2 linked regions of the Canis lupus familiaris genome follow. The protein of the gene in region 1 interacts with the protein of each later gene in a pairwise test. Links are inferred from orthologs where the notes say so. Each region holds a gene or a part of one and is shown in the gene's direction. Other genes may lie near its edges. The genes, in order: CASP10 and RIOK3.

Region 1 (3,816 bases):
ACCAGCTTAATACACTGAGAAGTGCTATTCACTGAAAAGATTATGGTGCCTTCCACCCTGCATGTAATTCAATATTAAAATAATACTAGCCAATTTGCTATTTTTCCCAGCAGCATTTAAGAATTTTTTTCTTTAAAAAAAAAAAAAAAGAATTTTTTTCTTTTAAAATACTAAATATTTACCCTTTGTATCTTTGGTGTCTCTGTTTTGCTGCTGCCCTAATCTAATGTCATTTACATATGTGAGTGACAGCGCGTATAGCTCAATAATTAATAAGAGAGCCTTTGACATCAGACTGCCAGGGTTCAAATACCAGCTCTGCCACTTATTGGCTCTGTGAGTTTGGACAAGTTGTTGAACTCCAGTAATTTCATCTTTAAAATGGGGGTTATAATAGTATCTAGCTTTATTGGCTTGTTTTTGAGGTAATATATAGCAAGTAATGCCTGGTATATAGTGAGTTATGTATATTTGGTATTTGTTATTAATATAGATAATTTACTTGGCAATGCCTCTTCCCCCATATATTGAACTTCTCAGGGACAAACACTGTACCTTTTTCGTCATTGTGAGACTTGGTGACTAGAGACCATGCAAGTAATGTTTAAAGAATGAATGGATCATCAGAAGGCAAGTAAATGTGACTCCATTGATTCTCTTGCAGACCCCTCTAAGTTTCCTGGCATATTTGGAGAAACAAGCTCTAATAGATGAGGATAATCTGGGGTTACTGGAGGATCTCTGTAGAAAAGTTGTACCTAACCTTATAAGAAAGATTGAAAGATACAAAAGAGAGAAAGGTAAGTAGCTTACACTTATTTGCTTGCACAAGACCATGAAATTTTTTTTTTTTTTTTAAGACCATGAAATTCTTAAACTAATTGGTGGTATATGATGTTTACTCATCACTCTGATAATATTCCCTTGGGAAAGCCAGAACTCTCTCCCTGTCTATTCATTCAAGACCTATTTATGAATGCATACTCGGAACTAGGCACAGTTTTAGAAGGTGCCTAGAAGATGTATAGAGCAAAGCTCCTGCTATCTTGGAGCTTATATTCTAGTGAAGAAAAGTAGTTTTAAATAAATGTCTTAAAAAAAAAGATAAATGTCTTTTTTTTTCATTTTTATAGGAGGGGAGAGATAGAAAATTGTTTTGAGTGAAATAATGAAGGAGGTGGGGTAGCATGGGGATTAAGAATGAGGTCTAGCGAGTCAGATTACCAGGACTCCACTTATTAATGGGGCAGTGGTTCTTTTCTTAGCCTTTCTGTTTCACTTTCCTCACCCATAAAATGGAGATAATAATAGTACATACCTCGTGGGTGTTTTGAGGGTCAAATGAAGTAATTCCTAAAAAAATACATGTCTAGCATAGAATAAAACATGTTGCTATAAATATGTTTGTCAGAAAGTCATGAAAACTTTCATATTCTTAGAATTAGTATGAGGAAGAAGAATTTTATTTCCTTGTTTGTTTTTTTAATTGTGTTTTGTAAATATAGTAATGCTAGAGGTATAGCAGAGGATGGAAATAACACCTGGATGATTTGCTTACTATTTATCAATAGACTAAGTTTGTGTTTTTCCAGGTTATTTTTCTCCACATTTCTTTTTCTCCAGAAATAGAAATGCATGAGTATATTCATGAAACTTTATGCCACACCCATATTTTAATTCAGGGAGTCAATCTGGTGTGCAAATGTCTTTGGTTAAAAACGAAACTATCTAAAAGGAAACTTCTCTCTAAGAATTCTATAAATACAAAATGTGTTGAGGAACAAAATACACTGTTGTTAAATTGCTAAAATCCCCCAAAATAACTAAAGTAATGAATAAATGCATAATTTAAGTAGAAGTTATGAAGAATAAAATGTTTCTTCTAACCTAAGTTATCAAATGAGAAATAAAAAGCTGGGAGTTGATATCAAAAGTACTTTTGGAATCCTCACTGAGCTCTGAATGCTAAGATTTTTTTTTCTGATTACATTCCCATTTTCCTGTAGTTAGTACCCCACACAAAATAAACAGGCAGGTGGTCAGATTGTTCTGGGTAGTTGAACTCTGGAGAAGATACTCTAATGTTTATGTAGTAAATGGCTCAGTGAGTCTTAAGATGTGAGCTTTATATCAGAAGATTTCTAATTTTGATTTTTCTTTTTTTACAACCTACCTGCTGGTTGATCTCTTTTGGATGTCAAAAGAAAACAAACAAACAAACTTGTCCTCTGCTCCTATCACACCAACACTTCTGGGACATTTCTGACATAGATGGGTAGGATTTTTCCATACCAAGTAATTCTCTAATTCTCTACAGATACCATCGGGGTGTCTAACGATTTAATTCAATTCTGACACTAACCAGAGTTAGCACAGACCTTAACTCAATTAGGTTAAGGGCTCAATGCCCTAAGAGTGCCCCCTACTTCAGACACCAGTTGCAAATTAATGGGTCCCCAGAATACCCATGGCTTCTGTCCCATTTGGCTATAAACTGAGGGTTCCCATGACCCTGTCCTCAGTTCAGTAATTTGCTAGAACTCATAGAACTCAGGAAAACAGTTTACTTACTAGATTACTTTTTTATTATAAAAAGATTTGACTCAGCAACAGCCAAATATAAGAAATGCATAGGGCAAGGTATGAGGGAAGGGGCATAAGGCTTCCAGGCCCTCTCCAGGCAGCTCACCTCCCCAGCACCTTCACATATAGATAATTTACTTGGCAATGCCTCTTCCCCCATATATTGAACTTCTCAGGGACAAACACTGTACCTTTTTCGTCAGTTACCAACCGGGAAGCTCTCCAAGCCCCTTCAGTTAGAGTTCTATATGGAAGCTTCATATATAGGCACGATTGATTTAAATCATTGGCCATCATGATTAATTCAAGCTCTGGCTCTTCTTCCCTTCCCAGAGGTCTGAGTATGGGGTTGAAAGTTCCAACTTTCTGACCACAGGTTTATTCCTCTGGCACACTGCCTCCCTCCAGAGGCTACCCAGGAGCCCCAATTACCAGTCAACTCATTAACATCTTATTAGCAAGAGACAATCTAGCAGTTCAGAGATTCCAAGAGTTTTAGGAGCTCTGTGCCAGGAAAAAGAGGGCAAGACCAAATATATATATATGCATATATATATATTTATCAGATATCAATATTTCAGTATTAACTTTAGTATAGGTTTAAGAGCTTGTGTATATTTCTCCCATTTAGGATGAAGGACTAAAAGACTGAAAAGATAGTAGGTAGGCAGATTTTGGACTTTTCTGCAAGTGAATGTGATGCAAAGTCAAAGTCCATTGTATCTGATTAGGACACAAGCTGTATTTGGGGACCACTAGGATAGCTTTCTGAATTTTCTTGAGCCTTGATGTTTGCTTTACTATTTTAAATTTCTTATTAAAGATAATGTATCTTAATTAAAAATAAATTTTTAAAAATATTTTATTTATTTATTCATGAGAGACACAGAGAAAGATGCAGAGACATAGGCAGAGGGAGAAGCAGGCTCCGTGCAGGAGCCTGATGTGGGACTTGATTCTAGGACCCTGGGATCACACTCTGAGCCAAAGGCAGACGCTCAACCACTGAGCCACCCAGGTGCCCCAAAAATAAAAATTCAAAGAAGGTTTATTTACTGCCAGCCCATTCCCTAGAGATAATCACTGTTTGCACTGTTTGGAGAATATATAAAGAGACAATTTGTATGTATATGTGTGTAGATAGCTAGATAAATATATATTTAACTAAAATCCTGCTAATCATATTCTATAACTTGCTTTAGTCCCACTTAATGCATCTCACATTTCTCCATG
Region 2 (4,575 bases), on another chromosome or scaffold:
AACTTTTGACTTCCTGTCCTTTTTCTTTTTTTAAGGTTTTGTTTATTTATTTACTTGAGAGAGAGAGAGCAAGAGAGGGGGTACAGAGGAAGAAGCAGGCTCCTCACTGAGCAGGGAGCCTAACACAGGGCTCCATCCCAGGATCTCAGAATCATGACCTGAGCCAAAGGCAGACAACCAACTGAGCCACCTAGCTGCCCCTCTATACCTCAACTGTAATCCTTTGAACCTTAAGAGGGAATGTGATTTTCACATACATTCATATATATGGGCAACCTTTGCCAAGAATAAGTCTGTATTCTATCATATAGTTTTGCCTTATTTTAATTTGTAGTTTCTGGAAGATTCAGAACCTGTCCTGCCCTGGAATGGCAAAAATTGTTTGCTAAAGGAAACCATCAAGGTGGGTATCCTAGGGATCTCAAGCATAGACAGTCAGGGGTCCTGGCCCAGAACTGGCAATGCAGGAACATTGTTATGGAGCGTTTCTGTCTGGAACGTCTTAATAGTCAACATGTAGACATATCGAGCCAGTCCCCTAGCCCATGGTGCCTGGGTTCACGACGCATTAGCTTTGCCCCTCCTTAGCCATATGACCTCCAGCAGGTTGCTTCAGTTCTGTGTGCCTACGTTTCATTATTGGTAAAATCAAGATCATGCTAGAAATAGAATGCACCTCTTGTGACTTTTTTTTTTTAAAGGTTTATTTGCTCGTAAGAGACACAGAGAGAGGCAGAGACATAGGCAGAGGGAGGGAGGCAGGCTCACCGAGGAGAGTCTGGTGCGGGACTCGATCCCAAGAGCCCACGATCACGACCTGAGCCAAAGGCAGGCGCTCAACCCCGGAGCCGCCCACGTGCCCCTCTCGTGATTATTTTGAGGACTGAGAGCTAATACAGTACTTTGAACAAAGCACGAACATAGTAAGTGAAATGTAACGCCTAGCTGTTTTTATCCGGTCACTTTAGGAGAATCTACAAAACACCAATCAAAGCTTTTATTAGGCAGTCCTATTTTTTGCTTAATGTTCTTTTTTTTTTTTTTTTAATTTATTTATGATAGTCATACAGAGAGAGAGAGAGGCAGAGACACAGGCAGAGGGAGAAGCAGGCTCCATGCACCGGGAGCCCGACGTGGGATTCGATCCCGGGTCTCCAGGATCGCGCCCTGGGCCAAAGGCAGGCGCCAAACCGCTGCGCCACCCAGGGATCCCTGCTTAATGTTCTTTAACGCATCTTACAAATTTTCACCTTTTTATGCCCCGCTTCCTAACGGCAAACTGCCGTAACAACAACATCGGACCCCTCTGCTCCCGCTATTTTCTGTCCCCCGTACCATCCCAGACCAGAACTAGCCCCGAAAACAACGAAGGAACGGAAGAAGCCTCGTTTGTTTGTTGTTATACCCGGAGTAACACGCAGCCTCGGTTTAACGAGCTCCAGATGCTGTCTCGGGCAGGCAGGTGGGGAAGGAAGGAGAAGGAGGTGCGGGAACACGGCGCAGTCCGGCCAGAGGAAGCCACACCCGCCGCCGGCTCCGTCCGGCACCGGCCACCGCGGCCGCAAGTCAAAGCCCGCGGCGTGGACAGACCCGGCCGGAGGCAGCGGCCGGAAGTGCGGCGCGCCGGGGGCGGGGAAAGGAGGCCAGACCGGGGCGGGCAGCCTATCAGAAGCGAGGGTCCCGGCGGAGAGGGCGGAAGAGAAGAGATGTAGTTCCGGCCGCGGCCGCGCCGCCATCTGTCACCTCAGCTCCGGCGCCCGCCGCGCGTCGCCCCAGCCCCGCCGCCTGTCTCCTCGGAGGAGGCTGTTTCCCGGTCCTGCCATCTGTCTGCCCTGTGTCCTCGTTGCTGGCTTCTCTTCCAACATGGATCTGGTCGGAGTGGCATCTCCTGAGCCGAGGCCCGCAGCAGCCTGGGGACCCAGCAAGGTGAGTGGCGGTCGGAGCTGACGCACCTGCCTTGGGTACCCGCGCTGGTCCTCTCAGGAGGCCCGGAGAAAGTGTCAGGCGCCCGGGCGGCTCGGCCGGCGACTCGGGAGGGTGGGGCACGGGTAGCGGGGCTGCCAGTGGCCGCTGTCGGCGGTTGGGGCTCGCTCTCGAGTTCTGCGCCTCGACTCCTGAACCTCCCTAGCAGCTGTCTGGGCCGGGCCCGGTTAGAGGCTCTGACGTTTGAGGGGAAACAAGCATGATCTTGTTTGTCACCGGCCGAGCGAGTCAGCCGAGTAATGCACGGAAAGCCCGACGGGAAGGACACATTGGCAGCTGTTTCCTTAACTTGACAAATGCGGTTATCCGACTTGGGCAATTTCTCGTTTTTGAAGCAGTGAATATTGGGTAAGTCCAGGGCTGATACTCCTCTCCCCCGGGCTGATACTCAGGTGTACACTACCTACTGTGGGAAAAAAAAAAAAAAAAAAAAAAAAAAAAGGTTATGAGTTCTTATTATCTGCATAGGCTTTCAGGTTTAAACTCTTTTTCTGTATTAACCACCTATTACGTTTATTTCACATTTGGTTTTTGGTTTTCAGACTGCCCCTTTGCATGATAATTTTGTCAGAGGGATGAAAAGACTCTTCTGCCGCTTTATTGAGGGTTTGTTTGAAAGCAGGATTGCTTCAAATTAAGGGATGCTTCAACTGGGATGTTGTGTTCCTCAAATTAAGGTTGGAAGGAGTCCAACTTTTATTAGCTTCCTAATTGTTTTTCACTTGCTGTCACGGAATATTTGTTCCTTTTAAAGGATCACTTGTTTTTTATTTATTTATTTATTTATTTATTTATTTATTTATTTATTTATTTTTGGATCACTTGTTTTATTAGATCTTTAGGCTAGGTCGTCTTCTTCTTCTTCTTCTTATATTTTTATTTATTTATTCATGAGAGACACAGAGAGAGAGAGAGAGGCAGAGACACAGGCAGAGGGAGAAGCAGGCTCCATGCAGGGAGCCCGACGTGGGACTCCCATCCCGGGTCTCAAGGGTCATGCCCTGGGCTGAAGGTGGTGCTAAACCGCTGAGCCACCGGGCTGCCCTGAAAGTTTAATTAAAGTTAACTTTATGAAAGTTCTCATACAACTATAGGGAGAATTTAAAATAATCTATTGGCAAATGTTGTATCTACGTGTTATTTTGTGTCATTTCCTTCTATTAAGCCTTGTTTATGAGGCCAAGACCAGTAGACATAAAAAGAAAATTAGTAGCCAGATACTAATAAATATATGCTTTATATGTTAAGTTCTTACAGTTAAGCACCTAAAGGCTGATTAAAATGTCAAATAAAAAAAAAATGTCAAATGAGACAAACATTGCTCAGAATACCTAATGTCAGGGCATCCCTGGTGGCCCAGCAGTTTCGCACCGCCTTCAGCCCCAGATGTGATCCTAGAGTCCCAGGATCGAGTCCCACATCAAGCTCCCTGCATGGAGCCTGCTTCTCCCTCTGCCTGTGTCTCTGTCTCTCTCTCTCTCTCTCTCTCTCTCTCCCTCCCTCTCTGTCTGTCATGAATAAATAAATAAAATCTTAAAAAAAAAAAAAAGAAGGGCAGCCCCGGTGGTATAGCAGTTTAGCGCTGCTTGCAGCCCAGGGCGTGATCCTGGAGACCCTGGATCGAGTCCCACATCAGGCTCTCTGTATGATGCCTGCTTCTCCCTCTGCCTGTGTCTCTGCCTCTCTCTCTCTCTGTCTCTATGAATAAATAAATAAAATCTTTAATAAAAAAAAAGAATACCTAATGTCAGTATATGTGCTGTCAAAGCGAGCGCTAGAATACCTAATGTCAGAACAAATTTCACTTACAAAACTAATAATAAAATATTTGTTGTCATATTTTCATTTAAGTATGCATCATCAGAAATATAAAATTTCATTTTCATCATTTAACAAAAAGAATGATCCTGGAATTTATTGATGTTCTACTGGAAGACAGCATTTTCACAGACCAAACAGTTAGTTAGGCTGTATGTATTTCTTAATGCTTTCTTCCTCCAATCTCTTGGAAGACCTAAGGGATTATCGAAGGCTTCGTGGAGGTGGAGATTTGAGGAAGGTCTTGAAAAATGGAAAGAGTGCCAAAGGCCAGCGATTCTCAAAACTTTTTGGTCAGGATGAATTTATACTCTAAAATATCATTGAGGACACCAAAGAATTTTTGTTTATATCAGTTACATCTTTTAATATTTGTCATATCAGAAAGAAAAGTGAAATAGTGAAGAATTTTTTATTAGGTGATTTCAAAGTCATCATATGTTAATACAAATATAATTTTCATTTGTAACCCCCCCATTTTCTAAAAAAAAAAACAAACAAAAATAGTGGTTTAGTATTGTATTTTTGCAAATCTCTTTAATGTCTGATTTTTTTTTTTTGAGATTTTATTTTTTTGAGAGAGAGAGAGCAAGCAAGCAAAGAGCATGAGTGGAGGGAGGGGCAGAGGGAGAGGGAGCCTGACTAGGGGTTCCAACCTAGGACCTCAGGATCATGACCTGAGCCAAAGGCAGATACTTAACCAACTGAGCCTTCCAGGCATCCCTAATGTCTGATTTAATAGAAGACTTTTGTGATATGTTTTAGTTGAAATAT

Evidence for each region.
Region 2: the proteins of CASP10 (region 1) and RIOK3 interact in binary tests that used the Homo sapiens proteins (3 or more experiments, as listed by UniProt). The link is inferred for Canis lupus familiaris from reciprocal best matches to the Homo sapiens genes CASP10 and RIOK3.

The regions. Positions count from the first base shown.
Region 1 is NC_049258.1:10,183,738-10,187,553, forward strand, and holds part of CASP10 (caspase-10), read left to right. Parts: intron 1-664; coding exon 665-800; intron 801-3,816. UniProt on the Homo sapiens protein: Involved in the activation cascade of caspases responsible for apoptosis execution. Recruited to both Fas- and TNFR-1 receptors in a FADD dependent manner. May participate in the granzyme B apoptotic pathways.
Region 2 is NC_049228.1:64,909,997-64,914,571, reverse strand, and holds the start of RIOK3 (serine/threonine-protein kinase RIO3), read left to right. Parts: upstream 1-1,694; 5' UTR 1,695-1,863; coding exon 1,864-1,926; intron 1,927-2,169; exon of another isoform or gene 2,170-2,331; intron 2,332-4,575.